Linked DNA regions of Oryctolagus cuniculus. The protein of the gene in region 1 interacts with the protein of each later gene in a biochemical or structural test. Links are inferred from orthologs where the notes say so. Each region holds a gene or a part of one and is shown on either strand. Other genes may lie near its edges. The genes, in order: RANGAP1, USPL1 and E3 SUMO-protein ligase RanBP2.

Region 1 (9,915 bases):
GTCCTGCATTGCTGATGTTCCAGTTCATCCGTCACCTGTCAGACCAGAAAGTCAGACAGACTGGGGATTTTCCTGAGACTTCTGCTGAGCCCGCCTGGTCCTTAGGGGCCCCTGACTTGTGGACGGGTGTTCTGGTCCAGCCAGCCAGGGTGGTCCAGCTTTTCACTGACAGAGCCCAAAGTAAGAAGGCTGTGAGTGGGAGGCTCAGCGGTCCCAGCTTGTCTAATGCTGAGTGCGGCCCTGCTCGCTGGCGGGGCTTCTCCATTCAGGCCTCTTCCAGGGTCTGCAGCTAACTCTTCTCTTGTCCCGCCACAGCGATGCCACTGGAGCGATATGTTCACAGGGAGGCTGCGCTCCGAGATCCCGCCAGCCCTGGTGAGTGAACGCCCGGCACAGGAGCCCTCCTCACACTGTGTTCTTTCTGGAAGCTGAGCCCTTGATGGCTGAGATGCTGAAATGGAAGTCATGCAAAACCAGGGTTTCCCCTGTGTGAGGGCTGCTGAGAGCACAGGCGGTCACGGGAGGGAGCCAGAGGGAGGAAGTGGGGTGGGCTAGGGCGTCCCGGGTTCTTCCTGAGCTGGGGGGTTTGACTCGTACTGCACAACTGCCGTTCTTTCCTGGCACCACCACCCCTGCACCCTGAGGCCGTGGATTCTCCCTTTACCCTGCTTCCTCTTTCTGCTTCTCTCTGCCTCCGCTTTCCGATTCCCACTTGTGGGGCTTGGGGCAGGTGTTTGCTGCGGGTCAGCGGGCTCTTTGGTGTGGTGGAGTCCCTTACCTGGGCCACACCCTTGCTCCTTCTCAGGTCTTCCCCCTTCCATCCGGGACAGGGCCTCCAGACACGCCCGTGCACTGACCTCACTTCTGCAGGCACAGGCCACGGTGCCGGGCACTGTCAGGGTCCCAGAGTGAGGCTCTCTGGGTAGAAGTTAGAGGAGGCCTCAGAGCTGCTGGAGTTAGGGCCCTTGCCTGGAGGGGTGGACACGACCAGGTGAGGCTAGGGGTCAGGATGCAGGTTAAATGCATCCATTTGGGTGCTTACGAATAGAGGGTCTTGAGTTAGAAGAGGGAGGAACGGCCCGGCTCGGCGCGTGCTGCCGGACTCTGCTGCGTGAGATGCTTTACTGAGCTGCAGCATTTAACTTCCCAGGCTTTGAGGAGGTTTATCTCCATGCTCCTGGCGGTGAGAGTGAATCTGGAGAAGGGAGAAGAGAGTTAGAGGTCAGGGTGGCATGACCTGCGGGGAGGGTGAGGGGCTGGGCATTGGTTGGGGCCAGATCACCAAGCACAGGGCAGCCTGAGAACACTTGCCCTTGTTTAGTGAGGGAGGAGGGCAGTAGAAACGGCCACAGCAACCACGCCCCGGTCTGTGTGTGGACGGCCTCCCCTCTGTGTTTCTGTCCCTGTCGGCTGCAGCCCAGCCCACTTCTGCCTCCAGTTCTCTGAGCCTTCTCTCCGTGACCATCTCCCTGGGGACTGTGGGTGTCCCCAGCCAGAGGGGTTCCCAGGAGAGCTCAGTGTCCTCCTGCCAAATCCGGTCCCTGTCCACCTCCATTTGCCCAGTTACCCGCTGAGTCCCTGGAGGCCTTTGTGGGGCCCCCTTCCCCCCACATCCATTTCTGCAGCCTCCCTTCGCTGCACGGAGGCCCAGGTTCCTCTTTCACTTCTGCCACACCAACCAGTGCCACCTTGTACTCCCAGGGGGCGCACAGCCTCCAGCCTCCCTCTGCCCGACTGTCTGCCTTAAGGACCTTCCCTGCGTGTTCCGTGGCCATCAGAGTCTCTCGCTCTCAGGCTTAGGCCCAGTTCCTGGCCTGGTGTTTAAGGCTCTTGCCTTATGTGACCCCTTGCTTCCAGCCAGAGCTCACCCATTGATTGGTGTCCTTTCGGGTTTACCAGCTCCTTGCTCCGGCACACGGCATGCTGCTTCACGCTCATGTCTTTACTGCTGCCCTCCTCCTTTCGTGTGGACTGGCTGACTCCAGACTGAGCTCAAATGCCACCTCCTTCAGGGGGTCTTCCCAGACCACTCAGACCCTACTCCCTGGCTGCTAGGAGCCCTGTGCAGGGTTTCCAGTCGCGGTTGTGTGATTGGAAGGCTCTGCACTGAAGTAGGCTGTGTCTGCCTGCTGCCCCCTCCTCTGGGTGCCCTGAGGGCTGGACTGAGCCCAGCACAGAGGCAGCGCTGTGAAAGTGACCTGCGTTCCCTTGTCCAGATCTCCCTAGGGGAAGGACTCGTCACAGCTGGGGCCCAGCTGGTGGAGCTGGACCTGAGTGACAACGCGTTTGGACCCGATGGCGTGCGAGGCTTCGAGGCCCTGCTCAAGAGCCCAGCCTGCTTCAGCCTGCAGGAGCTCAAGCTCAACAACTGCGGCATGGGCATTGGCGGCGGGAAGGTAGGCGCCGCAGTCCTCTGCTCGCAGGCCTCATTGTTCTCTTCAAAGAAGAAAGGCCTCAAAGGCTGGGAGGGAGAGGAGTCTATGAGGGAGGGGTTGCTAAGCAACCATCCCAGTCTCCTGGGTTGGCTTGGCAACGGGGAGCAGTGCCACTGCATACCTGCACCTGCCGAGTTCTCAGAGCAGCCGGCAGAGCCAGGGCGAGGAGGCCCAGAAGGAGAAAGGGGCCGCTTGGGAAGGTGCTCCCAGCTCCCCTGTCTGTGTCCTTGGGTGGGGCCTTGCCGCAGGTGCCTCGCCCTGTCCTGCCACGAGTCAGTCTGGTCTGGTCGGTGTAGAAAGAAGCTTTGCTTGTCAGAACTCACACCCAGACAGGCTGGCCTCATTACTCTCCTGGACCCATTGAGAGTCGATCTGTTTCCTCTCTCCCTCCCCCTGCCTCCCTCCCTCTCTCCTCTTCTCTCTCTCTCTCTCCCCTCCCTCTCTCTCCCCTTCTCTCTCTCTCCTCTTCTCTCTCTCTCTCCTCTTCTCTCTCTCTCTCCTCTTCTCTCTCCCCCACCTCTCCCTCTCCCTCTCTCTTTCTCTTCCCTTCTCTCCCCTTCCCCCTTCCCCTCTCTCCCTCCCTCCTCTCCTGCTTCCTTCCCTCTCTTTCTCTCTCTCTGCTGGGGACATGGGTGTGAAGGTGAATGAGACACATGAGTTGCCCCCACACTGCTGCCTCCCTCTCCCCAGAGAGTAGATGGGCTCAGAGAGGTGGGGCTGATTGTGGGGCTTAAAACCTCATCCAAAGGCTCCATTCACAGCAACAAGAGTTGCCAGGGTGGGGCTTGCAGTGCCCCAGGCTGGAGCCAGAGTGGACACCCCCACAGGATGTGCCTGTCTCCCTGCCCCACAGGAGGGAGAGCATCCCTTCTCCTAGCCTAGCTGGACGGTAAGCAGTCCACGTGTAGAGATGTCATAAAAGCATTCACTTCCTCACAGAGAATTCATCGCCCACCCAGAGGAGCCTGCTGCGAGAGCAGGGACACTATAGCGTGTCCTGCCTGTGCTCCCATCACCTCCTGTCTGTTGCATAGCATTGCCAGGAAGCACACGCAGGGCTTCCCCAGCTGCCCAGTGGCTGTATGGCCTATCCCACTCTGAGTGGTGGGCATAGGAGTTGGGAACGCAGAGACCTTGGAACCCCAGGACCAGGGCCTCCTCTGTAGACCAGCTCTATGCTGGGATTTGAGTTGTGCAGTAACTTCATTTAGCCATGGACTGTTGTTCCAAGACCCCTGGTGAGTGCCTGTAGCCTTGGGCAGTACCAAAGCCATGTATGTATACTCTGTTTTTTCCTCTATATACATACCTGTGACAAAATTCCATTTCTCATTTAGGAATAAGAGATTAGCAAAAAAGAACAGGTTCTGGTGTTATGGTGCAGTAAGCTGCTGCCCACAAGGCCAGCATCCCATGTGGGTGCAAGTTCGAGTCCTGACTGCTCCACTTCCAATCCAGCTCCCTGGCTAATGATCTGGGAAAAGTAGCAGAAGATGACACAAGTACTTGGGCCCCTGCACCCCATGTAGGAGACCTAGTTGATCCCGGTTGCCCCTCTTCCAGTCCAGCTCTCTGCTGTGGCCCGGGAGTAAAGTGGAGGATGGCCCAAGTGCTTGGGCCCTGCACCCCATGGGAGACCAGGAGAAGCACCTGGCTCCTGCCATCGGATCAGCGCGGTGCACTGGCCGCGCCAGCCATTGGAGGGTGAACCAACGGCAAAAAGGAAGACCTTTCTCTCTGTTTCTCTCTCTCTCACTGTCCACTCTGCTTGTCACAAAAAAAAAAAAAAAAAGGAGACCTAGTTGAATCTCCTGGCTTCAGCCTGGCTCAGCCTTGGCTGTGGCAGCCATCTTGGGAGTGAACCAAAGATGGAAGATACACCTCTCTTGCTCTTGCTCTTGACTCTGTCTCTCTCTCTCTCTGTAACTCTGTCTTTCAAATAAATGAATCTGTTTTTAAAAAAGTTAAAACAGCATACTATAATAGAAGTTAATTGGGGCCAGCACTGTGGTGTAGTGGGTAAAGCCACCACCTGCAGTGCCGGCATCTCAAATGGGTGCTGACATCTCATATGGGTGCCAGTTCGAGTTCTGGATGCTCCACTTCAGATCCAGCTCTCTGCTATGGCCTGGGAAAGCAGTAGAAGGTGGCCCAAGTCCTTGGGCCCCTGCACTCATGTGGGAGACCAGAGGAAGCTCCTGGCTCCTGGCTTCGGATCGGCGCAGCTCCGGCCGTTGTAGCCATCTGGTTAGTGAAACAGTGGATGAAAGACTTCCTTCCTTCCTTCCTTCTCTCTCTCTCTCTCTCTCTCTCTCTCTGCCTCTCAAGTAAATAAATAACTGCCTTAAATAAATAAATCAATCTCTAAAAGTTAATTGCCTGTGATCACTCTGTCTGAAAAATATTGTACTATAAATCTTACCATACATTTTTTTTCCTTAGGAGCTTTCACTTTTTATTTATTTTTTTAAATAAGAAAGAGAGAGAGAGGTCTTTCATCCAGTGGTTCACTCCCCAAATGACTGCAACAGCCAGAGCTGGGCCAGGGGGAAGCCAGGAGCCTGGAACTCCATCCAGGTCTCCTGTGAAGGTGGCAGGGGCCCAGGTACCTGGGCCATCTTCCGCTGCTTTTCAGGTACATTGGCGAGCTGGATCAAGAACGGAGTAGCTGGGACTTGAAGTGGGGGCCATACGGGATGCTGTCATTCGCTGTGCCACAGTGACCCCACCTCTTCACTCGACAGAAGTGTTGCGGCTTCTCTTTGTCAGATCTGAATTGCCAGAATTGCAGACTTTGGGGCCAGGGTTAAGAGACAGTGATATTTTCAGGCCAGGGTTGGCTACCCTGAATGACAGGAGACTACTGCAGTTCTCTGTTGCCCCCTCACCACTGATCTGATGAGTCCTGGGGTCCTGGCGGCTCCACCTCTTCACTCGACAGAAGTGTTGCGGCTTCTCTTTGTCAGATCTGAATTGCCAGAATTGCAGACTTTGGGGCCAGGGTTAAGACAGTGATATTTTCAGGCCAGGGTTGGCTACCCTGAATGACAGGAGACTACTGCAGTTCTCTGTTGCCCCCTCACCACTGATCTGATGAGTCCTGGGGTCCTGGCGGCTGCAGGCCTCAGGTCCTTTGGCAGCTGTTCCCAGCAGGCTGTGTGTGTGAAGTGCGATCCGTGGGCCACACACCATGGGAATTGGAGGGGCCCTAGATCCAAGGTCTGTCAGGAAGTTGGAGTCCTGCAGGAGCCAAGGCCCTCCACATGGTGGCCTCAGCAGAACAAGGGGCAAGCAGGGTGAGCCACCTTAGAGAGTCTGATGCTTCTGCACTGTGCATGCACACGACCCCACCACTGTGGAGCTGGTGTGTGCTGACCTTACATTCTTCCAGGGCAGCTGTGTGGGCTCAGGCAGGAGCCAGGCCAGTCTGTGCAGTATTGGTGAGCCCCAGTTCTTCAGCTGACAACGGGGGTGACCATGGTCCCAGCTAGCAGAGGCTCTGCCGGTGCAGTGAGCTAACTGGGGAGTCCCCCCCCCCCGGACCTTAAAGCCGGGTGACTCTGCCCTGGCTCTTCCCTCGGACTCCCTGAGACTGAGCGCCACAGGCTAACACACAAACCAAGTGATAGATGTAAACTGTGAAGTCTGGGGCCCAGATGAGGCGCGATCTGGCCGCACACCCACTGCCAGTGGGTGCGCAGGATGCACACGGTGGGGGCCCCACAGGGACGAGGGCCCCCTGCCCATGGCTTGTTCCCCTTGCTTTTGCCTGCAGATCCTGGCTGCAGCTCTGACTGAGTGCTACCGGAAATCCAGCAGCCAAGGCAAACCACTGGCCCTGAAGGTCTTCATGGCTGGCAGAAACCGTCTGGAGAACGATGGGGCGACTGCTTTGGCAGAAGCCTTTGGGGTGAGTGTTCCTGTCTGTCGTGCCCTAGGCACTGATGCTGGCTAGGCCTACCAAGCTGAGAGTCTCGGCTGTGCATCCCAGCGCCGGCATTTAGCTGAGCCAGTGGAGATGGTCACTTACCCTCTCTGAGCTTGTTCACTCCCCCGCAAATGTGCGTGTCTAGAAGACACACTCACCATCTGGGGCGAGCCGCTAGCAGCTCCCCGAAGCTCTGTGTGAGAGTACTGTGAAGGCTCGAGACGGAGTTAGAGCTGAGGAGCCTGGCACGGCTTCCCTGTGTGGACTGCAGAGAGGGATCGCATCCCACTTGCCCGAGACAAGGAGACTGGGAGGAGCTTCTGAGGGGCCCCAGCCAATGAAGCACTCTTGGGTGACCTCCCCCAGTGTTTACTTGTGACCACTCCGCCCCCACTCCCAGCTGTGCCGTGCACCCAGGACAGCAAGACTGGCCCAGGTGCAGTGAAGTGCCTGTTCCCCATCCCAGGGAGCAGTGAAGGCGGGATATGGGCCTCTGGAGAACTCACTCAGGGTTGACGGTGTACAGGTGAGAACGTAGGCTTTGATGATGCAGGATGAGGAACCCCACCGGAGGGGAAGACTCAAATACTTGGGATGTGGAAGAAGAGCACTGGACGAGAATCCAGGAAGCCTTCCTGGGAGAAGTGTCCACCATGAGAGTGCATAGAATGCAGCAGAATAGGAGGGAACTGTTATAAGCAGAGATGGGGATGGCAGAAGGCCGGAATGAGAGAGGGCCAGGTGGGTTAGAGGAGCCCTTCCTCACCTCCCAGGACGTGGCTTGTAGAATGCCGGTGGAGGAGGGCGTCACCCAGAGGACTGAGCCCATGTCCCCAGGGCAGAGGACTGGGGAATCTGGAGTTTGGGCTGGGCGTGAAGCCTCGTCACTGAGACCTGGTTAAGATGCCCGCGTCCCACATGGCAGTGCCTGTGTGAGGCCCAGCTGTGGCTCCTGATTCCAGCTTCATGCAGGCGTACACCCTGGGAGGCAGTGTTGGTGACCCAAGCTGTTGGGTCCCTGCCTCCCATGTGGGACACTTGGATTGAGTTCTTGGCTGGTGGCTTCAACTTCTGCTGTGTCCCAGCGTTTGCTATTGCAGGCATTTGGGAAGTGAAGCAGCAGATGGGAGCTTTCTCTGTCAGCTACTCCAAAAAAATGAAATCTGGTTCCAGATCTGTTTGACCCTGGGCGAGTCACTTGGCCTTTTTGATTTCTCCTCTTACTGGTGGGGATCCTGACTCCACCTTGGTGAGACTGCGGAGAGGATCGCCTGCCATTTTGCCCCCCGAACCCACAGACAAGCCCTGCCTGGTGCTGGCGACAGCCCCTCCGCATGCGTGCTGTGTGGAGCCGCTCTCCCACCGCCGATGTGCCTGTCACTTGGGGGCCAACACTCTGCTCTCCTTCCTGCCCTCACAGATCATCGGGACTCTAGAGGAGGTCCACATGCCGCAGAATGGGATCAACCACCCTGGGGTCACAGCCCTGGCCCAGGCTTTCGCCATCAACCCCCTGCTGCGGGTCATCAACCTGAACGACAACACCTTCACTGAGAAAGGGGGGGTGGCCATGGCCGAGGTGAGGCAAGTGTGGCAGAGCCGGGTCACAGCCCCGTGGGGCAGGGCCTGGCTGCTGCCTGGGCTTCATTTGCAGGTGGCTGTTTAGCCCTCACTTTTCTGCCCACCTGGTGTGCACCCCATGGGCCCAGCCCGTGTGAACACGTCCAGAGTAGGGTCACGTGTCACGGGGAAGCCTGTGCCTTCCGTGGGCAGCTCTGGGGGTGCTGCTTTGTACTCAGACGGCACAGAGAAGGCTGCTCGTGCTTGTCTCTTCCTCATTGACTTGTTCAGAGATGGTTTTATTGAGCCCTTTCGGTGCTTGGCTTTGAACCAGTGCCTTCAAGGAGCTGTAGTTGAAGAAGGGGAGGAAACTGCTGACCAGTGACAGGCAGGCTACCTGCATGCCAGGCCCGGTGGGGAGGGCTCCACAGCCCTGCAGGGGCCTCACCCTGTTGCTGTGGCGGCAGATGTTGGGGAGCTTACATGAGTGAAGATCAGGTCAGGTGTGTCCTGGGCTTCCTGGAAGAGGTTCCATTTTGGCTACATTGTACAAGACACACAGATGCTACAGAAGGTGGGACTGGGGGTTTCAGGCAGAGGCGTCTGGGCTTGTGGGAAGCCAGGGACTCAGGAGGGAGCCTTGCTTTGCCTGGTCCTGGCTTCGCAAGGCCAGGCCAGAGATGAAGGGGGAGAGGCAGGACTGTGTAGCCTTGCTAACTCCTTGAGCTATGGAAGGTCCAGTAGTGGTGTGAAGTGATTAGATCTGTGCTCCAACACGAGGCATGGGCTGGCCCTGGAGGCCAATGGGGAGGTGATGAGAAGAGCTAGTGGGGTGTGGAGGTAACCAGACCAGGATACAGAGAGGATGCCGTGTGGTGACTGATGGGGGCAGGGAGGGCTGGGGTGAGGCCTGGACCCTTCCTCCTTGCAGACATTGAAGACCTTGCGGCAGGTGGAGGTGATCAATTTTGGGGACTGCCTTGTGCGCTCCAAGGGTGCCGTTGCCATCGCAGATGCTGTCCGTGGGGGTCTGCCCAAGCTCAAGGTATCACCAGTGCCATCTGCTGTCTTCTTCCCAGCCTCTGGGCTTCCCCCATGCTGGGGGTGGGGTCTGGTGGGGAGGCTGGTGGGCCGGGGTCCATACCCCAGCTCCTCTCCCGGCCACTGCGGTTTTGTGCACGTTCCTCCCCTCCCTGTAAAACCAGAAGAAGGTGTGATGTGCACCATTGTGTAGGCTGAGTGCTCTTAATCTGAAATCAGGTGCTCCAAGTTCTACAACTTTTGAATGCCAGTGTGACACCACAGCTGAGCTTGGGATGGGTCACCATCAAAACGCAGGCACCCTAAAATGACCATGTACACCTTTGGGTGTACATGAAGCAAATGAATTTCATGTCTACGTTTGGGTATCAATCCCAAATCTTGTTGCGTGTATGCAAGTAGTCCAAAATCTGAAACCGTTTGAAATTGGAAACATTGGTGTTCCCAAGGATGTTCTACGTGTGGTTCAGTTGAGGCAAACACACTTGGCCCTTGGCACCTGGTTGCGTGTGTGGCATTGTGTTTTTGTGTGTGTTGCTGTTCTCGCCCCCTTGCCAATCTGGAGGGCAGAGCCTGCCCTCTCTTCCCTCGGGGAGGCTGAGGCTTCAGAGCAGGACCTGTCTCTCCGCCCAGTTCCTGCTTGCCTCCACCACTTCCTCCTATTTTTAGGAGCTGAACTTGTCCTTCTGTGAAATCAAGAGAGATGCTGCCGTGGCAGTGGCCGAGGCCGTGGCCGACAAGACTGAGCTGGAGAAGCTGGATCTCAATGGTAGTGAGGGCAGGCGGCCTGGGCACAGACCCGCCAGGCTGGCCTGGTGCTGTCCTGACCAGCCCCTTTCTCCATGAGCAGGCAACACCCTGGGAGAGGAAGGCTGTGAACAGCTGCAGGAGGTGCTGGACAGCTTCAACATGGCCAAGGTGCTGGCGTCCCTCAGGTAGGGAATTCCGGGG
Region 2 (10,406 bases), on another chromosome or scaffold:
CCTGCCCGTGACAGGAACTGGAGGCAGAAGCAGAAGCCAATACGAAGTCTGTGAATATGGGCTAAGTGGCGGGCACTGCACGTAAGACGCAGCTTGGGGTACCTGCATCCCACACCACAGGGCCTGCGTTTGAACTCTGGCTCTGCTCCTGTTTCCAACTTCCTGCGAATGCACACAGTGGATTCCTTAACTAAAGCACAAAGCACCCTAGCCTCTTGAAGCAGCAAATTAAAACCACGATCGTCGTGAGTAGCAGGGGTGTGTAGTTCTTGTTGGGTGCTATGGTATAACTTTATGTAGATTATCTCTCACACTCATATTATTATGAAGTCCATTTTCAAGACAAGAAAATCTGGGCTCTGAAAAGTTATCTAAGCCATACAGAAATCACACAAGGGTGGGCGTCGTGGTAGTGTGTTAAGCTGCCACTTGGGACACAGGTGTTCCCTACTGGAGTGCCTGCCATCAAGTGTGACTCTGCCTCCAGTCCAGCTCTCTGCCAATGCACACCCTGGGATGGCCCAAGTACTTGGGTTTCTGCCACCCACATGGGAGACCTGGATGGAGTTCTTGGCTCCTGGCTAGGGCCTGGCCCTGCCCTGGCTGTTGTGGGCATTCGGAGAGTGAAATCAGCAGATGGAAGACCTCTCACTTTTTCAAGTGAATAATAATCAACATTTTTTAAAAATCACAAAATCGGGGCCGGCGCCGTGGCTCACTAGGTTAATCCTCCGCCTGCAGCGCCGGCATCCCATGTGGGCACCCGGGGTTCTAGTCCCGGTTGCCCCTCTTCCAGTCCAGCTCTCTGCTATGGCCTGGGAGTGCAGTAGAGGATTGGCCCAAGTGCTTGGACTCTGCACCCACATGGGAGACCAGGAGAAGCACCTGGCTCCTGCCTTCGGATCAGCGCAGCGCGCCGGCCGTGGCGGCCATTGGAGGGTGAACCAACCGCAAAAGGAAGACCTTTCTCTCTGTTTTCTCTCACTGTCCACTCTGCCTGTCCAAAAAAAAAAAAAAAAAAAGAGAGAGAGAGAGAGAAAACTATGCATCAAGGATCTTGAAATTTTTTGCTTTAATAAGTAAAATATTTGTAATGCCCTTGTATGATTACAGGGGTGCTAAGATGGGCTCCTTTAAAACATGGCCTCTTGGGGCTGATGCTGTGGCAGAGCAGGTGAAGCCACTGTCTGCAGTGCTGGCATCCCATATGGATGCCATTTCGAGTTCCGGCTGCTCCACTTCTGATCCAGCTCTCTGCTATGGCACGGGAAAGCAGTGGAAGATGGCCCAAGTCCTTGGGCCCCTGCACCCGCATGGGAGACCCAGAAGAAGCTCCTGGCTCCTGGCTTCGAATCAGCACAGCTCTGGACGTTGAGGCTACTTGGGTAGTGAACCAGTGGATGGAAGACTTCTCTCTCTCAACCTCTCCTCTCTCTATGTAACTCTGACTTTCAAATAAATAAATAAGTCTTTAAAAAAAAATGGCCTCTTCCCACCAGTGGGTACTATTCTAAATTCCCTTATTAGAGGTTAGTAGGTTCTATCAGAATTTTTCTGGGAGAAGCAAGAGCCTACCCTGTAAGTTCAATGCGTCAGTCTTACTGTACACAAGTCTGGCTCCTTTTCATTTTAGCTACTCACTACGCACTTCTGTATGCTAGGCAGCGCACTGAGCACCTTCAATCCATTACCTTGCTTAATGGCAACAGAATTCTGAGTGGGTGGGCACAACCCCATTTTACAGATGCGAACACTGAAAAGGTGACACCATTAAAGTGTTTGGCTTGTCCGGGATGACACATTTACCAAGGGGCAGAGCCAGGCCCGAAGCCCCTGCTTTTCACTGCTGTACCCCCTTTTCTACAGGGCCCTTCAGAGTGAGCTTTGGTGCACAAAGATCGGTGGAATGAGACGGCAGATAAGATGAAAAATAAAAACAAGAACGTTGAAGAATATCATACACAAGTTAATATTCTTTACATGAATCCGTTCTTGTGTTCAAGAAGCCAGAGGTCACGCACTTGATCTTAGTAGGTTTGGTCGCCCTTGGGATGTCAGCGGATAGCCACTGCCCTTTCCTGACCCACCAGGAAGGCGGTAAACACCTGGGCTTGATTCCAGGGAGGAGGGGGGAGGCAGAGAAAGAAGAGTGCAGGCCCAGTGCCTTCCGCAGACACAGGTCCCCAGCGGTTTTGTGTGTGCAGGACGGTGCGCTGGTTTTGGTGACTCACAAGCAGAGAGAGTGGGAGGGAAAGAGAAGTGTGAGGCCTTGCCCAGAGGCAGTCATTCTGCTTAAACAAGTACACTAACAAAGCAAGTGACAAATGATTCAGCGTCTCAGTCTCTAGAAAAGTCACTTGTGAATTTCCAGACACCAGTGAAAACTGTGAGGAATGGCTGAGCTGCTGCCACGCGAAACTGAGCTGTCGTTGAACTTGGTCTGCAGGAACTTTTTCAGTTTGAACTTCTGCATCTTATTTTATGATCACTTAGCTTTCGGAGAGCAATTTTGCTAAGTGCTTAACCTAATCAATCTGCATCCACACAGAGACGCATGGGGCTCTACTTACATGCCCTTCATGGAATTGGGCCTCCACAAATCTTGATCTTTTTACGTGGTACTCTGCTGATTTTGTGTGTGTGGCTTTCTTCTTCACTGTGTTAAATGTTCTGCCCCTACGCTCTAGGGACAATGAGAACAAAAGTGTAGCTTTGGTTACTTCTTATCAAAGGAAGCTCATCGCCTGATTATTCAAAGATTTAATTAAATGCCTACTCTTATGTGTGTGCTACAGAGCTAGACCCTCTGCGAAGTCACCATCAAATGGATAAGAGCCACTCTCCACAGAGATGATGGTTATATATTCCTTGTTTTCTGGAGGGTTCTAATTTCATGAAATTCCCTTGTTAAATAAAGGCAATTCTTCATGACCTAAAATGCTTTCATTTTCATATTTTTGTAAGATTTTTATGTACAAATTATTTCTCAGAAAAATAGAATCCTAAGTCCTTTAAAACTACTCTTGTTTAAAAGTCTGGCTCCTGAATGAATGTGTGCTTTCATTATAAATTCTACACTTATAAATTAGAATCTAACAGACTGAGAGTGCCTAAAAGATGGAAGAAGAATCTTACTCTTACTAGAGAGGCACAGTACTAAGGACATTTTTTGTGTAAATAATTATTTTATTCTGCAGGCAAAAATCAACATAGGAAGTTTGGTGACTTAAAGAAGTAATAAAAGTGTGGGAAAGTACTTCTTCCAAGATTGTCAAAAAAGAAAAAAAAGACAACGTTATTTTATGGACGATCTAGTTGCAGAATAAAACTCCACTATTAATAGCTGGCATTGTGCCTGGTGGCTTTGAAGCCACAAACAGGTTAATGAAAAACATTTGTTCAATCTGTTCAAATCTAGCGAAAATGAGGATTGTTTAAACAAAGAATGAAAATAGCTCAGAGAAGTAAAGATTAATAAAGGATATTGGCGTTTTGTAAGTATTACTTTTTATTGTTTTCTATAGTTTAGTAATAAGTTTAATATTTGCATTCCAATAATGTTAGTGAAATATGTATGTATATACATATATTTTAAATGATGTAATGGGAAACTGTGCTTACATTTGCTTTCAGTAAGCCTAGTGCAGGATAACCCTCATTGTATGTGCCATTGAGACTGTACCTGAAGCCGCTTCTACAAGGGGACTTCAAACAGTTCATGGAAAAATAAATTGAAAAGATTAGTTTATTTTGGTGCAAAAAATGTTGAAATTCATGCAAAGTTTTTCCATAACATGTATTTCTATGAAATTTTTACTTTTTATTATTTTTTTGAAAATTATTTATTTGAAAGGCAGAGACAGAAACAGAGACAGAGAGATTGCTCATCTGCTGGTTCACTCCTCAAATGCCTGAAATGAGCAGGACTGGGCCAGGCTAAAGCGCAATCCAGGTCTTCCACATGGGTGGCTGCATACCCAAGTATTTGAGACATTGCCTACTGCCTCCCTGGGTGTGCGTCCGTAGGAAGCTGGAATTGGGGGCAGAGCAAGGACTCCAACCACGCACTTAGAAATGGGATGCAGGTATTCCAAGCAGCACTTAATAGCTGTGCCAAATGCCCCCTCCCAACATTATTTTGAAATCCAAATACACTTATCTTTTAATTCCATTTTCAACAAACTTTCTGATTAGCAGGTATTACTTTGGGAGGAAATAAAATAGCTTTATGCCTAGTTTTGTAAGTTATGATGGAAGAGTACAACTTAAAGAATGAAATGTGGGGGCCGACTCTGTGGCACAGTGGGTTAACGCCCTGGCCTGAAGCGTCGGCATCCCATATGGACGCCGGTTCGAGACCCGGCTGCCCCACTTCCAGTCCAGCTCTCTGCTATGGCCTGGGAAAGGAGTAGAAGATGGCCCAAGTCCTTGGGGCCCTGCACCCATGTGGGAGACCCGGAAGAAGCTCCTGGCTCCTGGCTTTGGATCGGCACAGGTCTGGCCATTGTGGCCATCTGGGGAGTGAATCATTGGATGGAAGACCTCTCTCTCTCTCTCCCCCCTCCCTGTGTAACTCTGACTTGCAAATAAATAAATAAATCTTTTTTTTAAAAAAAGAATGAAATGTGATGTCACCAAGTATCAAACAGTCCTGGCAGAGGTGGAACTGTCCATGGGTATTAGGGTAAGTGGTCTTGATGTAAACACACAAATTAGGAAGTCCCTTACTTTTGTATTTGTGTTACAAGGCAACTGTTAACAGAATGCAAGAACACCTTAGTGATAAACGTTCATGTTGGCCATTAGAGACTTTTCAGTTGCGTTTTGTAATGGCAATTCTAAATGCAGTTCTCCACTTTATGATACGGGCTACTTGCTATGAAAATTTAAAAATTAAGTAAAATATTTCATCAACATTATTCTAACAATGGCAAAATCAGAATTCAAGATCTCACAATCACGGTAAGAATATTTTAATGCAACTCTGCTTATGAACTGAAATTCCCCTTAACTTTTTTTTTTTTAGTTATTTTATTTGAAAGTCAGAGTTACAGAGAGAAGTAGAGACAGAGACACAGAGAGAGAAGTTTTCTACCCACTGATTCACTCTCCAAAATGGCCACCATGGCCGGAGCTGAGCCTGTTTGAAGCCAGGAGCCAGGAGCTTCTTCTGGGTCTCCCATGCGGGTGCAGGGGCCCAAGGACTTCGGCCATCCTCCACAGCGCTAGAGTGGAAGTGGAGCAGCTGGGACTTGAACCAGTGCCCATATGGGATGCCGGCGCTGTAGGCTGGGGCTTTAACCTGCTTAACCACAGCACTGGTCCCCTCTTTTTTTTTTTTTAAACTCTTCAACCTTTTATATCTTGAAAACATTTTTTAGCATTTCATCAGAGCAAGATATCAGAAGGGTAAATCTCTTATCAGTGAACTTTGCTAATTTTGTGTAACTCCATATCAGGTTCGGTGAGAAAGTGAATGAAATATGTTTTTATATACTTTTGCTTTCCCTAAATCCTAAGCCCAGGCCAAAGAATAAGGAATTTTAGATATTATTTAAAGTTTTGGATTCAAAGAGAGCATGATTATGCTTCAAGGGCTTTTGGAAACTCAGTTTCATGAGAACAGCCCAGAGGGCTCCCACACTCTTGGCTTAATCTCACAGTGACCTAGCTCTCTATCAACAAAACTGCCTGGCTCCTGATCTACAGAAGCCAAGGACCGACAGTTTCACTTTCAGTTTTCTGAACATCGCTTGTTTCAGTGAACAGCATCGGAATCTCCACTAAACAGTGAATTGTAAGTTCCACTCGACTTCGGACTAAGCTCATTAATCATGGGAATTGGACGATGACTTCTGGGGTGGGGGTGGGCCTATGGTTCCAGGAAGGCATCTTCGAAAGTCAGAACCCACTCTGCAGTACGCTGTGATGCAGGCTCCTCCAAATGGTAGCAGAAACGTATTACTGTCTAGAAAGTCAACAGCAGGAATCCAATTGTGGGATTCCATAGAAACAAGGACAAATTAAAATAAATGTGTGTTTAGAAGAAAGGTGTTATTTAAAGGAAAAATATTGGGGTGGGCATTTGGTGCAGTAAAGTCACTGCTTGGGGTGCCTGGATCCCATATAGGAGCGCCTGGTTCGAGTCCTGGCTCTGCTCCTGACTCCAGGTTCCCGCTAATGCACACCATGAGAGGCAACAGACAATGGCTTAAGTAGTTAGGTTCCTGCCACCCACAAGGCAGACCTGCACTGAATTACTAGCTCCTAGCTTTGGCCTGGCTCAGCCCCAGCTCTTGTGGGCATTTGGGAAATGAACTAGCAGATAGAAGACCTTCTCTCTCTGTCTGTCTCTCTTTCTCTCTGCTTTTTAAGTAATTAAAAATAATTAAAACAAAATACTATAATCAAGGTATAGCTTCTCTGTACATTCTTTATGACTTTCTGTACATTTAAAAACCATAATTGTATTTTTTAATTTAAAGAAATGAGTGGATTACTTCAAAATAGGACTACATTTTTTGGTATGCTTTAAAAAATTAAAATAGTGATTAGTAGACTGACAGGCTCACATATTTTGGATAAGCTGTTGACTATGTACAAAATTTATCAATTATAAAAAACTGCTAACTATTAAAAACTTCAGGGGTCAGCACTGTGGCATAGCAGGTAAAGCCACCACCTGCAGTTGCCGGTATCCCATATGGGCACCAGTTTAAGTCTCGGCTACTCCACTTCTGATCCAGCTCTCTGAAGTAGCCTGGGAAAGCAGTACAAGATGGTCCAAGTCCTTGAGCCCCTGCACCTTCACGGGAGATCTGGAAGAAGCTCCGGGATCCCGGCTTTGGATCGGCCCAGCTCTGGCCCATTGTGGCCAACTGGGGAGTAAACCAACAGATGGAACACATCTCTCTCTCTTTCTGCCTCTCCTATTCTCTCTGTGGAACTCTGACTTTCAAATAAATAAATAAATAAATAAATCTTTAAAAAAAAAAGTCATAGAACTATAGTGACCAAATGAAGACTGGAAAAAAAGATAGTCAAATGATTCCAAAAAGGATGGATCTGGGGGTGAATGGTGCCATCAGTAATCACGCTCAAAGGGCAAACGGTAGCACAGTGGCTGAAGAGAGACTTGTGATGCCTACATGCCTTCTCAAGGGAGCCTGGGTTTGCATCCCAGCTCCACTTCTGCTTCCAGTTTCCTGCTAATGCACAGCCTGGAAATCTCAAGTACCTGTGTCCCTGCCACCCAACTGGGAGGTGGGGACCGAGTTCCAAGCTCTTGGCTTCAGCCTTGTTCATCCTGGCTTTTCTGGGCATTTGGGGAGTGAACCAGCAAACAGTCTGTCTCTTTCTCTGCCTTTCAAATAAAATTAAAATTAAGAGCAATATCATGCTCAAGATTCTGAAGTATGCAGATCTGGGTTGGGTGGGTGAGAGGGAAAAATAATGACCAAATAGTCAAGGTAGATGTGAGATGCCCAAGGCACCAGGGAGAGAATCTTCCAAGTACAACAGAAAGGCCACATTCCCTGCAAAACCTTATCCAGCACCCTTTCCTCCAACTGGAACAGTTTCCCTTCTGAGTTTTCACAGCACTTTGTATTTCTCCAATAGCATAACTGTATACTGTTAGAGGAGGCAGTTCTGTGACAGCATTACAATTTTATAGTTAATTCTGTGGTTCTCTCGTTGCACCAATCACTTTTACCATAATTGTTCACAAGTTTTTCTATTCCTTTTACCATCTACTCCTCAACCCCAAGGCTTGCCTTACTAACTTATCTGTTCCTAAGCCAATGCTTGAAGTGTCTCTACATAGTAGAGGCTCAATGAACACTTGCTAAATGAATCCTCTTATGATAACAGCACTGTAAACAGAAACCCAGTCAACATTTCTTCTTGCTTTACTTTTCACAGAGTGCATTCATTTAATAAACATTCATCGAGAACCTACTAATTTCCATGAACTATGCTAAAAAAATGGGACTATAAAGAGGAACGTGATGAGGTCCCCAACCTACTGAGTGCCTCAAACCAGTGTAGCATTATGGGCCCAAATTTTCATGGAAAGGCTTCTGGAGATAAGATTTCATCCTTGGAATAACGCATATTGTGGGCTGTGCAAACCTTCTGGGACCTTTTTCTGGTTTGTTTTTAAACATTTATGTATTTGAATGGCAGAGTTACAGAGCGAGAGAAGGAGACAGGGAGAGAGGAAAGAGAGGGAGAGAAAGATCTTCCATCTACTGGCTGACTCCCCAAAACAGCCACAATGACCAGGACTGGGCCAGAGTCTCCCATGTGGATGGCACGGGTCCAGCCACTTGGGGATCTTATGCTGCTTTCCCAAGTACATTAGCAGGGAGCTGGATCAGAAGTGGAGCAGCCAGGACTCAAACTGGCACTCACATGCAACACAGGTCCCAGGTGGAGGCTTAACCTGCTGCACCACGACACCAGGCCCTTCTGGCACTTTCTGAAGCTATGCTATGCTTACTTACTTTGCTACAGGGACAGAGGGCTGTCCCTGATGCAGAAGCTTACACCAGTACAGCTACACATAAAAATTCCTTTTATGATGCTACAAAGCTTTTTAATTTAATGCTTACTAATACCTAGCATGATCTATTTTCCACATAATATACCCTCTGTCATATGCCTATACTACTAAAAATTCTATTAATCCTAGTACCAAAGATGTGTGTTGGCAAATCAGTTATTCTGTTTAATTTTATCTTGCTTGATATGTTAAAATCTACCAAAAATACAAATTCCGAGCAAGAGCTTCTGCATGGTGTGCATTTATGTATTATTCTTAAATGTTAGCTTATACACTTTTAAACTATAGAATAATATGATGGGGAGAAAATAGGTTTTTTATCAAGTCAAATTCCTGTTTATGTAGCTGGAAACAAAATAAGAAAGCAATTAACATACAAGCTAAGATGGTGACTACTCTAGCTTTTGCTTGCTTTTTAAAATTTTCAATTGAGGAACACAAAGTCAGTTCCCACGTTTTCAGCAAGAACTGAAGAACGCACGTGGGCATTCTTGACAACACTGGCGTCACTAACACATTCGCGAGTCTCATGGTTCACGTGACATCATTCCTGTCCATAGCGACAGGCTGTCCACTCTCACCCAGGGGTGACTGTGTTCAGTCTACCGATTCCACTGTGGTGCTGAGCACAGTGGGTCCTGGGTAACAGATGTGCAACATGTCCGTCACTCACTGACTCACAGCATCAGCTGTCCATTACTGACAGAAATTTTCACTGGGGATCTAGGTGGCTAATGGCGATCCTGTAAGGGAAGTCCCTCCTCTTCATGACTCGTAATGACGTTTCTCAGTGTCAGGCCTATGACAACATACTAAGTTAAAATCAATTTTCTTTCTTTTTTTATTTTTGACAGGCAGAGTGGACAGTGAGAGAGAGAGACAGAGAGAAAGGTCTTCCTTTTGCCATTGGTTTACTATCCAATGGCTGCCGCGGCCGGCACATTGCGCTGTAAAATCAATTTTCTAATAATATGTTATTGCTCTGTGTATAAAATGGGGTTAATCAATGGTGGAAAAAAATAAAAAGGGGTCACATTAAAAAATGTGTGCTCGCGGAGGCCAGTGTTGGGGCACAGTGGGTTGAGCTGCTGCTTGTGATGCCAGCATCCTGTATCAAAGCACCCGTTCTAGTCCCTGCTGCTCGGCTTCCGATCCAGCTCCCTGCTAGTTACTGTGCCTGGGAAGGCAGCGGAAGATGGTCCAAGTGCATGGGTCCCAGTCACCCATGTGGGAAACTCAGAAGTTCCAGGCTCCTGACTTCAGCCTGGTCCACTCTGGGCCATTGCAGCCATTTGGGGAGTGAATCAGCAGATGGAAGATCTTTCTCTTTCTCTCTGTCTCTCCCTCTCTATCACTCTGCTTTCAAATAAATAAATAAATAAATCTTAAAAAAAAATTTGTGCCCAGGCTGTAACAGCTGACAGCAATGTAATAACGTAATGATGTGCCATTTCTACTCCAACTATAGTAGACAAAAATTCCTGTTTCCAAGCCTTCGTCCACTGATCAATTTTCTTATCACTATTCCACACCAACACTACTATTTTCTCTTCTAGGGCAAGGTTTACACATTTTATACATGACTTCTTCCCTTACACACATGCATAAACAGAATTTTGATGTTTCTCTCTCCACTTTATTTAGTGTAACTGTTTTACAAGTTAGGCTCAATTTTCAAACCCTACTTCAGTGGATTTTATTTGTTCTATGGTAAAAAAAAAACACTGGACTGAAGTTGAAAGGCCTGGGAGGCCTAAATTCTAGCTCTGTGTCTTCTGGGAAAGGGACAAATCACAAGGCTTTGCAGGGCTTCGGCTTCCCGGCTTGTAAAATGAGAGGA
Region 3 (10,571 bases), on another chromosome or scaffold:
AAAAATTATTAAAAATGAAGAAAAGACCTGCATAGACATGTCTCAAGATATTCAAATGGTTATTAGGTATATGAAATTATGCTCAACATCACTAATCATCAGAAAAATATAAATTAAAACCATGATTATGTATCACTTCACATCTGTTAGAATGGCTATTTTGGCCGGCACCATGGCTCACTTGGCTAGTCCTCCGCCTGCGGTGCCGGCACCCTGGGTTCTAGTCCCGGTTGGGGCGCTGGATTCTGTCCCGGTTGCTCCTCTTCCAGTCCAGCTCTCTGCTGTGGCCCGGGAAGGCAGTGGAGGATGGCCCAAGTGCTTGGACCCTGCACCCGCATGGGAGACCAGGAGGAAGTACCTGGCTCCTGGCTTTGGATCGGCACAGCGCCAGCCATAGCGGCCATCAGGGGAGTGAACCAATGGAAGGAAGACCTCTCTCTCCGTGTCTCTCTCACTGTCTATAACTCTCTCTCTCTCTCTCTCTCTCTCACTGTCTAACTCTGCCTGGCAAAAAATAAAAATAATACAAAAAAAGAATGGCTATTTTATCAAAAAATAACAAGTGCTGATAAGTATATGCAGAAAAGGGATGTACATTGTTGGTGGAAATGTAAATTAGCACATTTTGGAAAATATTTGTAAAATTTGTAAAAAATGAAAATAGAATTATATGTTTCAACAATCCTTTTTGGGTATATATCCAAATAAAATGAAATCAATGTTTCCTTTAACAAAAGGAAATTTTGTCATATGCAACATGGATGAACCCAGCAGGCAGTGCTAAGTGAGATAAACTATACACAGAGGAGAAAAATACCATATGATCCTGTATGTGAAATCTAAAATCCTGAACTCAGAAGCAGACAGCAGAATGGTGGTTGCCAGGGTTGGTGGTAACTGTGGACAGAATGGAGAGCCATTGCTCAAAGTAAAGGCTCAGGGTGGACATGTTCTGGAGATGTGTAGACAGCACCAGCTGGCCTCAACATCTGGAGCTGTGCCTATGTGAAGCCAGGAGCCAGGAGCTTCTTCCAGGTCTCCCATGCAGGTGCAGGGGCCCAAGGACTTGGGCCATCTTCTATTGCTTTCCCAGGCCATAGCAGAGAGCTAGATAGGAAGTGGAGCAGCCAGGACTTGAACTGGCGCCCATGTGGGATGCCAGCACTGCAGGCAGCGGCTTTACTGGCTATGCCACAGCACCGGCCCCTAGCTAATGTATTCTTGAAAACTGCTAAAAGAGATCTTCAGTGTTCACACCGTTTACATACAACAAAGCATAACTAGAGGATGTGGAGGCTATGTTTATTGCTTGGATGTAATTATTTCACAATCTACAAATATATCAAATTATGTTGTGCATCAAAAATACATAATTTTGTCAATTATATTTCCATAAAGTTGGAAAAGTGCAATTGCAAAATGATAGAATAGACACTTATACACATACAATGGGGCTACATCCTGATAAACCCCATCGTAAATTGAAAGTATCAGTCTAAAATGCATTGTATACAACTAACCTACTGAGGAACAACATGGCTCAGTGCTGCCTGCCTTACATTTGCTCCGGATACTTGCCTGCAGCCTACAGTTGAGTGTTATGAGACAGTATTGTGCTGCATATCTCCAGCTAATGAAAGGATCAAAAATCAAAGTACAGTTTCTACTGCACACATATAACTTTAGTACCATCATAAAGTCAAAGGGGCATAATCTAGGAACAGTCTTCTGTATATCACAGGACAATAATGTAAGTGAATTTTGAATGCCTCGGTAGAGACATTATACCACTTGACAAACTTGTTGCCAAAATGAAGAAAACATATGACTATCCTAATAAATGCAGATATATGAACTGCCTAGAGGGAGAGAGAACTCCCATCTGCTGGTTCACTCCCCAAATGCCTGTAATGTCTGGGGGCTGAGCCAGGCTTAAACCAGCAACCAGGAATTCAATCCAGGTATCTCACAGGGGTAGCAGGACCCCAATTACTTGAGCTCTCACTGCTGCCTCCTAGGGTCTACTGGGGGAAACTGGAGTCCGGAGCCAGGGCTGGGAATTGAATCCAGGTATTCCACAATATGGACCTCTTCACTGCGAGGTTAAGCGCTGGTCCTAAGAGGTTTTTTGAATTCCTCATGAAGGTTCTCTCCTTGGTCCACTTCTCAGTATGTTCAACTTAACAAAGATCAGTATTTTTCACTAGGTGAGTGTGTTTGGGCAAGCTGTTTTAGTGCCCATTTTCTTGGTCTGTTGGAAAACATAAGATAACAAATAACAGTACACTTGGAAAGTCATTGGGAAAATTAAAAGAGTTAATGCATGTGAAGTGCTATGAAAAGAGCCTGCAGCAGCAAGTGTTTACTTGTTAGTTACGGCTATTTTTACCAACATACTTCCCAAGGCTAACTTGTAGTTCCACTTATTTCCTGAGGGTTCTGACTTCCAAGTCTGTCACAGATCTTTGTCTTATCCTTTCATCTACATACGAGGCCAACTCCATCTCTATGTATTTCACCTCAAGGGAAAGAAACCAGCTACCTAAAATAGGATATTCCATCCCAAGCTAGATGCTCTTTACATATTATTTGTTAAAGTACAGCAGTCACACTGGTAACCCAAGAATCATCTTTTCTTACCACAAAGATTGAAATAAAGAAAAAGATCTGTTTTTCCTTCTTCTTCATAAAGGTAATGCTTGTTCAATATAGAAAACACGGAAAATCCAAAACGGATAAAGATTACTCAGGGTCGGTGCTGTGGAGTAGCCGGTAAAGCCGCTGCCTGCAGTGCCGGCATCCCATATGGACACTGGTTCATGTTCTGGCAGCTCCACTTCCGATCCAGCTCTCTGCTGTGGCCTGGGAGAGCAGTGGAAGATGGCCCAAGTCCTTGGGCCCTGCACCCCATGGGAGACCAGGAGAAGCACCTGGCTCCTGGCTTCGGATCAGTGCTGTGCGCCGGCCACGGCGGCCATTGGAGGGTGAACCAACGGCAAAAGAAGACCTTTCTCTCTGTCTCTCTCACTGTCCACTCTGCCTGTCAAAAAAAAAAAAAAAAAAAAAAAAAAAAGGAAAGAAAGAAAAAAGGATTAGTACTATCAAGAATTCGATGTGTCCTGTCCTTCGGCCACTGAAATGTAAGTTGCAATCCGCCAAAAAATAGTATTTGTGGCCTATCTTTTTAAACGCATACGTTTTAAAATAAGTGCTTCGTATTCACATGTGTCCCACACGATGTACTTTAGCCAATCACCTCCAGGATTGCGCCAATTTACAGGCTCAACCAAAATGGCCCGACATCTTTTTCCTTCCACAACATCACGTGATTTTAACTAAGGCCAAACACGGAACGCTCTTAGGAACCCACGAGGTAAAACGTTATCTCGCGGCGGTGAACACCGGGCTCTCCGCCGCAAGCAGGAGAATCGGCCTCAGATTCGGCCACCCCGGCTGCGCCCGCTCGGGTAGAGCCCTCGGCCGGCAGTTCTAGGCGGGAGCGCCGCACTCGATGGCGTGGCGCACAGCGATGACGCAGCACGCACGCACGCCGCCCCGCCCCCTCCGCCGGCGACTGCGCTGCGTCACGGGTTTTCAAGCGCTTCGCTGCTGGACCCTGCGACCGCAGCGGGGCCTAACGCCTGCCGGCCGCTCGCCGGGAGTCCGGTCGGCGGCGCGATGAGGCGCAGCAAGGCCGACGTGGAGCGGTATATCGCTTCGGTGCAGGGCTCCGCCCCGTCGCCGCGAGAGGTGAGTCGTGTCCGGAGAGGCCGGGCCCTGGCCCAGCGGCGGCGCCGGCGCCATGGCTCCCGGCGCCAACCGCTCCCTGGCGCGTGCGGCGGAGGTCCGGGGCGGCTCGCCCTGCCCTGTGGGCGGCGCGGCGCTCGGGAGCGCTCGGGGAGGGGCGTGGGGGCGCGGGGGACGTCGGCGTTGCCTGCTTCCTGGGGCGGGGCGGGGGGCCTTCGTCCTCGTCAGGCCTGTTCCGTGCGGCCCGCGCTGCCCGGGCCCCCGGCTGGCGCCTCGGGCGGGCTCTGCCGTCCCGCTGCGGCCGCCTCTGGGCAGGGCGGCTGTTGGAACGCGGCGGGCTGTCCCCGCTGTGACGCTGCCGCGGCCGGGCAGGCGCCCTGGACTGCGGCCCGAGCGCGGGTGACCACGCGCAGTCCTCTCAGCCCCGCACGCCGAGCAAGCTGCTGTTTTATTTGCGGCCGCTTCCCCTTTACAGACGGGGTGCTCTGAGCTCAGAGTTTGCAAGTCTTTTTCCCGACAGCCAGTTCTGAGCACGTTTCTCCCTCCTGGATTACTTGGAGGCGGCGGCGGGGAGTGGGGCAGGTTACCACCGGTGGGCGCGCGCCGGCTCGTTGGTCTGCCTGCAGTTGAGTAGTTGCGACCCTGCCCTGGCAGACGCAGGTGGAGAGCGCGTTGAGTATCCCATCTGTAAAGCGGGCTTGATGAGGTGCGTGGTCGGTGCCCAACACCTCCAACGACGCCTGGCACGCCGTCAGCCCTACATGGGCGTCAGCTGCATCTCCTGGCGCTGGTGGTGTTGATGTTGGAAGTGAAGGTCTAGACGGCTGCTTCTGCATGGACGTGCGGGAAACGAGAAGTCTGTGTTGGGTGCAGAAAAGTTGTAAAGTTTTTGTATGGTTTTTTCCATAACACGCATTTCCCACGAACTTTGAGTTCTCATATTAGTGGTTGATCATGATTACAGTGCAACATAACGTGCCTTGTATCGTAGCCTAGTTATCTTACTTTATGCTCCAATAACTAAATACTGAGTCCTGCAGACGGGGAAGGTACTTGTCCAGGGCCAAGTGGATGGCTCAGCAGGGTGTTGGCAGTGGGTCTGATTGGCTTTTTTAGGAATAGTGTAACGGCCTATAGTCTGTCTCTCTGGAGAAGACACATAGGTTCCTACGTGCAGATGCCATTTCAAATCGCTGGCATAGTTTTTGTTTAAAGATTTATTCATTTATTTGAAAGGCAGAGTTGGTGGGGGCTGGGGACTCGAAGAGAGAGAGCTTCAATCCGCTGCTTCGTTCCCCAAATGGCTGTAAGGGGCAGAGCTGGGCTGTTCTGAGCCAGCAGCCGGGGCTTCTTCCGGGTCTCCTGTGTGGGTTCAGGGTCCCAAGCACTTGGGCCGTCCTCCGCTGCTTTCCCAGGCCCATTAGCAGGGAGCTGGATTGGAAGTGGAGCAGGTGGGACTATACCAGCTGCTGCCCATATGGGATGCTGGCACTGCAGACAGTGGCTTTACCTGCTGTATCACAGACCTGCCCCTGCATAGTCTTAAGTATGAATGTGTTAATAGTGTTAGAACCTTGTTGAAGGTTTCTGTAACTCCTAAGACTGGTATACTTTTTTTTTTGTTCTTATTTTTTGAAGCAAGTTTAGCATCTCCATAAGATTTTTTTTTTAAGATTTATTTATTTATTTGAAAGAGTTACAGAAGGAGAGGCAGAGAGAGGTTCTCCCTCCGCTGGTTCACTCACCAATTGGCCACAATGGCTGGAGCTGTGCCGATCTGAACCAGAAGCCAGGAGCTTCTTCAGGGTCTCCCATGTGGGTGCAGGGGCCCAAGGACTTGGGCCATCTTCCATTGCTTACCCAGGCCACAGCCGAGAGCTGGATCAGAAGTGGAGCAGCCAGGACTCGAACCGGTGCCCATATGAGATGCCGGCACTGCAGGCAGCGGCTTTGGCCCCCCTCCATGAGATTCTTAGTGGGGACCTTGGCTCTCAAATGTTAAGAAGCTGCCGCCTGTAGTTGCAGCCAATTGGGAAGTGAACCAGCAGATGGAAGACCTCTCTCTCTGCTTCTCTTTCTCTCTGTGTAACTCTTTCAAAGAAATTAAAAAACAAAAAACAAACAAACAAAAAAAACACGGTTTGAGACAGAAGGTAGAGTATTTCTACTATATAATTTCTGTCAGATAAAGAGGATTAGTTATGGCCACCTCTCAAACTTGAAGAATATTGTTTTAATTGGGTATTTTTCTTAAAGTGGATGCCTGAGAACTTCAGCAAAATATGAAGTAGCTAGTATGTAACTTTACAATGTGTGAAGATATTTTCTGTATTTTTTTAAAGACATTTTCGGAAGGGGGCAGCCAGGACATGAGCTGGCACCCATATGGGATGCTGGCACTGCAGGCAGAGGGTTAGCCTCCTGTGCCGCAGTGTCAGCCCATGAAGGTATTTTCTAAAGTTAGATCTGAATGCAATGTCAAAATAGGGTGAGTTGGATAATTTGGAAGGGGCTTGCTGGTGGAGGGGGCAGCAGCAGCTGTGAAGAGTGGGGAGAGAGGCACTGGCATTGTGGTGCAGCAGGTTGCATTTCCTGCGATTTCAGCATCCAGTATCCCGGTGCTGGTTCAAGTTCGGCCGCTCTGCTTCCCATGCAGCTCCCTGCTAATGCACCTGGAAAGCAGCGGAAGCTGGCCCAAGTGCCTGGCCCCTGCATCCGCTTGGGAGACCTGGATGCAGTTGTGGGCTCCTGTCTTGGCCTGCCCAGGCTGGGCTGTTGTGGCCATCTGGGCAGTGAACCAGTGGATGGAAGATCTCTGTCTCACTCTCCCTGTAACTCTGCCTTTCAAATAAATAAATAAATAAATGTTTAGCATTTTTTGAAAATAAAAGAATGGAGAGAGGTTAGTGCTTAATCTCTCATTTTGGCAGAGTCTGGCCATTCGTGAACTGACTGTACTTCCTAGGATGTGGAGCTCTGGGGTTTCTTGATACGTGTAGAATCTCATATGTTCCTAGTCTTCACTGAGTTTTCATTTGTTCATGTGCTTGTAGCTGTACCATGTTTCTGCTTCTTCACATCTACTTTTGTCCTTGTTGAAACTATTCTTTCTGTAATATTGCTTTTTACATATAATTTCTTTTGTCCTAAGATTCTGTCTGGTTGGTTTCCATTCTGCACCTGATTTCTACTCCTAGATGCTGCTGGACAGTACTAACTTGGTGGTTTGTTCTACCAATTACATCTATACTTCATACTTCTGATTTTATATATAGAGAGACAGACAGAGACAGCATGTGTGCACCAGAGGTCTCCCATCTGCTGATAATCTCAGGTGCTTGCAAGGACTAGGAACTCGCGATGGATCCCCCACCTGGGTTTGCGGGAACCTGATTACTTGAATCTCAGCAGTGCCTCCAGGGAATCAGCCCAGGCACTCTGGTGTGGGATGTGGAGGTCTCACCTTCTAGGCTTGTTTCCATGTATATATATATATATTTTTTAAGATTTACTTTTTTCTTTAAAGATTTATTTATTTTATTTGAAAGAGTTAGAGGGAGAGAGACATAGAGATCTTCATCTGCTGGTTCACTCCCCAGATAGCTGCAACAGGCAGAGCTGGGCTGGCCTGAAGCCAGGAGCTTCTTCTGGGTCTCTCACATGGGTGGCAGAGGCCAAAGCACTTGGGCCATTTTCTGCTGCTTTCCCAAGCACATTAGCAAGGAGCTGGATAGAAAGTGGAGCAGCTGGGATGTGAACCCATGCCCCTACAGGATGCCGGGGTGTCGGAGGCAGCTGCCTAACCTGATATGCCACAGTTGTGGCCTCCAATTTTTATTTCTTGATTCTGTTTCTTCTATTTCAGATGCTTTCTGTTGTGCTCCTCTAGAACTCTATCCACAGGCATTCCTTGTTTCTCCCTCATTCTTGCAATTTTTGGCTAAGTTAGTGTTTAGCATTTATATAATTACAGACAAATATTTTTGTGTTTAATTTGCCTTTGTGTGTAGTTTCATTTTTCCTGAGTTAATACTTGCTTTAAATTTTGATTTATTTATGGTGTATTGCTAATTCTTTACTCAAACTATTCAGTTTTAAACTCTGAAGTGTAGTCTAACAGGCACGTAATCCCATTCATTTCAGCCAAAAGATTTTTCTAAAACAGTTTTCTTATACTTGGAACATTGTTTTACTGCCACAGCATTGACTGTTTTTTTCTTTCTCTTTATTACACAGCTGTGGTCCTGGGACATCCCATTATCCTCACCTTGATAATTTCCTTTGCCTCTTTTTTTGTGTTAGACCATGTGTTTTTTGTACTTTATGTCTTCTTGATTTACTTTCATTGTTTTGGAGTAGGATAATCGTACTTTGAGAAGGAACGGATGAGAGCTGGTTTCTTTTTTTTTTTTAATTGTATGTTTGAGAAACATTTACTTACTTTGATGGATAATTTGGTTATCAAATTCTGGATTCAAAATAACTTCTCAATTTTAAGAGCATTTCTCCATTTCTGATAGTTTTATTATAAGTCTGATTTTTTTGGTAATTTATAGATTTCTCTGGAAGCTTCAACTTAGAGTTCTGGCGTATTATTTCTTTGAACTTTGCTTTTTTTCTCCTGTTTTCTTTCTGATATCCACATTAAGTAAAATTTGGAATTTGTGACTTGAGCCTCAAACTTTTTTTTCATTTCTTCCCCAATGTTTTCAGTGCTGAGCCCTTTTTTAAAAGTTTTTTTATTATTATTTGAAAGAGTTACAGAGTGAGTGATATCTTCCATTTGTTGGGAGAGACAGAGATAGAGATCTTCCATCTGCTGGTTCACTGCCAAGTGGCCACAAAGGCCAGGAGTCGGCCGGTGCCGCGGCTCACTAGGCTAATCCTCCGCCTGTGGCGCCGGCACCCCAGCTTCTAGTCCCTGGTCAGGGCGCCAGATTCTGTCCTGGTTGCTCCTCTTCCAGGCCAGCTCTCTGCTGTGGCCCGGGAGTGCAGTGGAGGATGGCCCAGGTGCTTGAGCCCTGCACCCGCATGGGAGACCGAGAGGAAGCACCTGGCTCCTGGCTTCGGATCAGCGCAGTGCTGGCTGCAGTGGCCATTAGGGGGTGAACCAATGGAAAAGGAAGAACTTTCTCTGTCTCTCTCTCATGTCCAGTCTGCCTGTCCAAAAAAAAAAAAAAAAATTAAAAAAAAAAAAAAAGCCAGGAGTCAGGAGCTTTATCTAGGTCTCCCATGTGGGTGCAGGGGCCCAAGTACTTGGGCCAACCTCTACTGCTTTTCCCAGGCCATAGCAGTATTGGCAGTGGAGTGGCTGAGGTATGAACTGGCACACATACAGTATGCCTGGGTAGTGGGTAGTAGGGTAAAGGTGACTATGCCATAAAGGTGGCCCCAAAGCACCCGACAGCAGGAGAAAAACCACCAAAGCAGGTCACATATTGGGAAGTTAAAAATGATGGTTCCATTATTTAAAAGAGGTCATCTTAAAGCATTCATCTAAACGTGGCCACATCCAAATGACTAGTCAAAAGAGATTGGTAAAGTATTGGTTTGACTGTAGATCTCTCCCCTGTCCCTCCTGGAAGAAAATTGACAGGAGGCTGGAGAATGGTTACGGATAGATGGGTGGCGGGGCGGGGAGGGAGTGAGTGACTGAGTCACTGGGCTGAGGTCCAGGAAGAATCCGAGTGCCTGCTCATTGGTCGTCTGGGGCAGGGCTGTCACATGTGTGGCTGGCCCTGAGCTTCCCACCTCTACTTCTGGAACTGAGGTCACCATCTTACCCACTTCACTGAATTCAGGGCCAGAGCACTGGATTCCCCACAGGCTACCTCAGGATCCAGATGGGGCTGGAGTACCAGACTGTACACGTGAGCAGGGCAGATGCACACTCTGACTGTTTGGGAGCGCACAGGCTGAAAAGCAAGCACATTTTTTTCTTCATTAAAAAGATTACTACTTTGACCAGGCAATGCATACAATGGGAACTTATTCCAAAGAAACGGAGAGACAGTGAGTGAACCTCTTCAGTATAGTCTCACCTCAGCCTCCCCTAGTGCATCCACATGGTTGTCATGTATGTGTTCATGTCTCTGGTGACCTGTGTTAGGAAGGAGAGTGGCTGTGCTGTGCACACGTGTGTACCAGGCACTCAAAAATTGTCAAATTAATGGTTCAGTGTTTTGTGTCTTAAGACACTTTCTGCTATGCAATTATATTTTAAAAATCTGCCTCCTCAGGGCCGGTGCTGTGGTGTAGCAGGTAAAACCACTGCTTGCAGTGCTGGCATCCCATATGGGCACCAGTTCGAGGCCTTGCTGCTCCACATCCGATCCAGCTCTCTGCTGTGGCCTGGAAAAGCAGAGGAAGATGGCCCGGGTAGTTGGGCCCCTGCACCAACGGATGACCTAGAGGAAGCTCCTGGCTCCTGGGTTCAGATTGGTGCAGCTCCAGCTGTTGTGACCAATTGAGGAATGAACCAGAGGATGGAAGACCTCTCTCTCTCTCTGCCTTTCCTTCTCTCTCTGTGTAACTGTGACTTTCAAATAAATGAATAACTCTTTTTTTAAATATCTGCCTTTTTTTATTTAAAGATTTATTTATTTGAGAGGCAGAGTTACTAAGAGACGGAGACAGAGGGAGGTCTTCCATCTGCTGGTTCACTTCCCAAATGGCTGCAGCGGCTGGAACTGGGCCAGTCTGGAACTAGGAGCCAGGAGCTTATTCCGGTTCTACACAGAGAAAGGAGGAGAGGCAGAAAGAGAAAGAGAAGGTCTTCCATCCGCTGGTTAACTCCCCAATTGACCGCAACAGCTGGAGCCGTG

What was found.
Region 2: of the proteins of RANGAP1 (region 1) and USPL1, one has a biochemical effect on the other in vitro, tested with the Homo sapiens proteins (2 studies listed by BioGRID). The link is inferred for Oryctolagus cuniculus from reciprocal best matches to the Homo sapiens genes RANGAP1 and USPL1.
Region 3: the proteins of RANGAP1 (region 1) and E3 SUMO-protein ligase RanBP2 form a complex in vitro, tested with the Homo sapiens proteins (5 studies listed by BioGRID and IntAct, with this or other methods). The link is inferred for Oryctolagus cuniculus from reciprocal best matches to the Homo sapiens genes RANGAP1 and RANBP2.

What each region holds. Positions count from the first base shown.
Region 1 is NC_091442.1:117,322,875-117,332,789, reverse strand, and holds part of RANGAP1 (ran GTPase-activating protein 1), read left to right. Parts: intron 1-315; coding exon 316-375; intron 376-2,216; coding exon 2,217-2,396; intron 2,397-6,210; coding exon 6,211-6,345; intron 6,346-7,783; coding exon 7,784-7,942; intron 7,943-8,854; coding exon 8,855-8,968; intron 8,969-9,633; coding exon 9,634-9,733; intron 9,734-9,814; coding exon 9,815-9,899; intron 9,900-9,915. UniProt on the Homo sapiens protein: GTPase activator for RAN. Converts cytoplasmic GTP-bound RAN to GDP-bound RAN, which is essential for RAN-mediated nuclear import and export. Mediates dissociation of cargo from nuclear export complexes containing XPO1, RAN and RANBP2 after nuclear export.
Region 2 is NC_091440.1:83,982,249-83,992,654, reverse strand, and holds the start of USPL1 (SUMO-specific isopeptidase USPL1), read left to right. Parts: upstream 1-3,816; 5' UTR 3,817-10,406. UniProt on the Homo sapiens protein: SUMO-specific isopeptidase involved in protein desumoylation. Specifically binds SUMO proteins with a higher affinity for SUMO2 and SUMO3 which it cleaves more efficiently. Also able to process full-length SUMO proteins to their mature forms.
Region 3 is NC_091433.1:100,108,671-100,119,241, reverse strand, and holds the start of E3 SUMO-protein ligase RanBP2, read left to right. Parts: upstream 1-3,540; 5' UTR 3,541-3,678; coding exon 3,679-3,750; intron 3,751-4,342; exon of another isoform or gene 4,343-4,453; intron 4,454-10,571. UniProt on the Homo sapiens protein: E3 SUMO-protein ligase which facilitates SUMO1 and SUMO2 conjugation by UBE2I. Involved in transport factor (Ran-GTP, karyopherin)-mediated protein import via the F-G repeat-containing domain which acts as a docking site for substrates.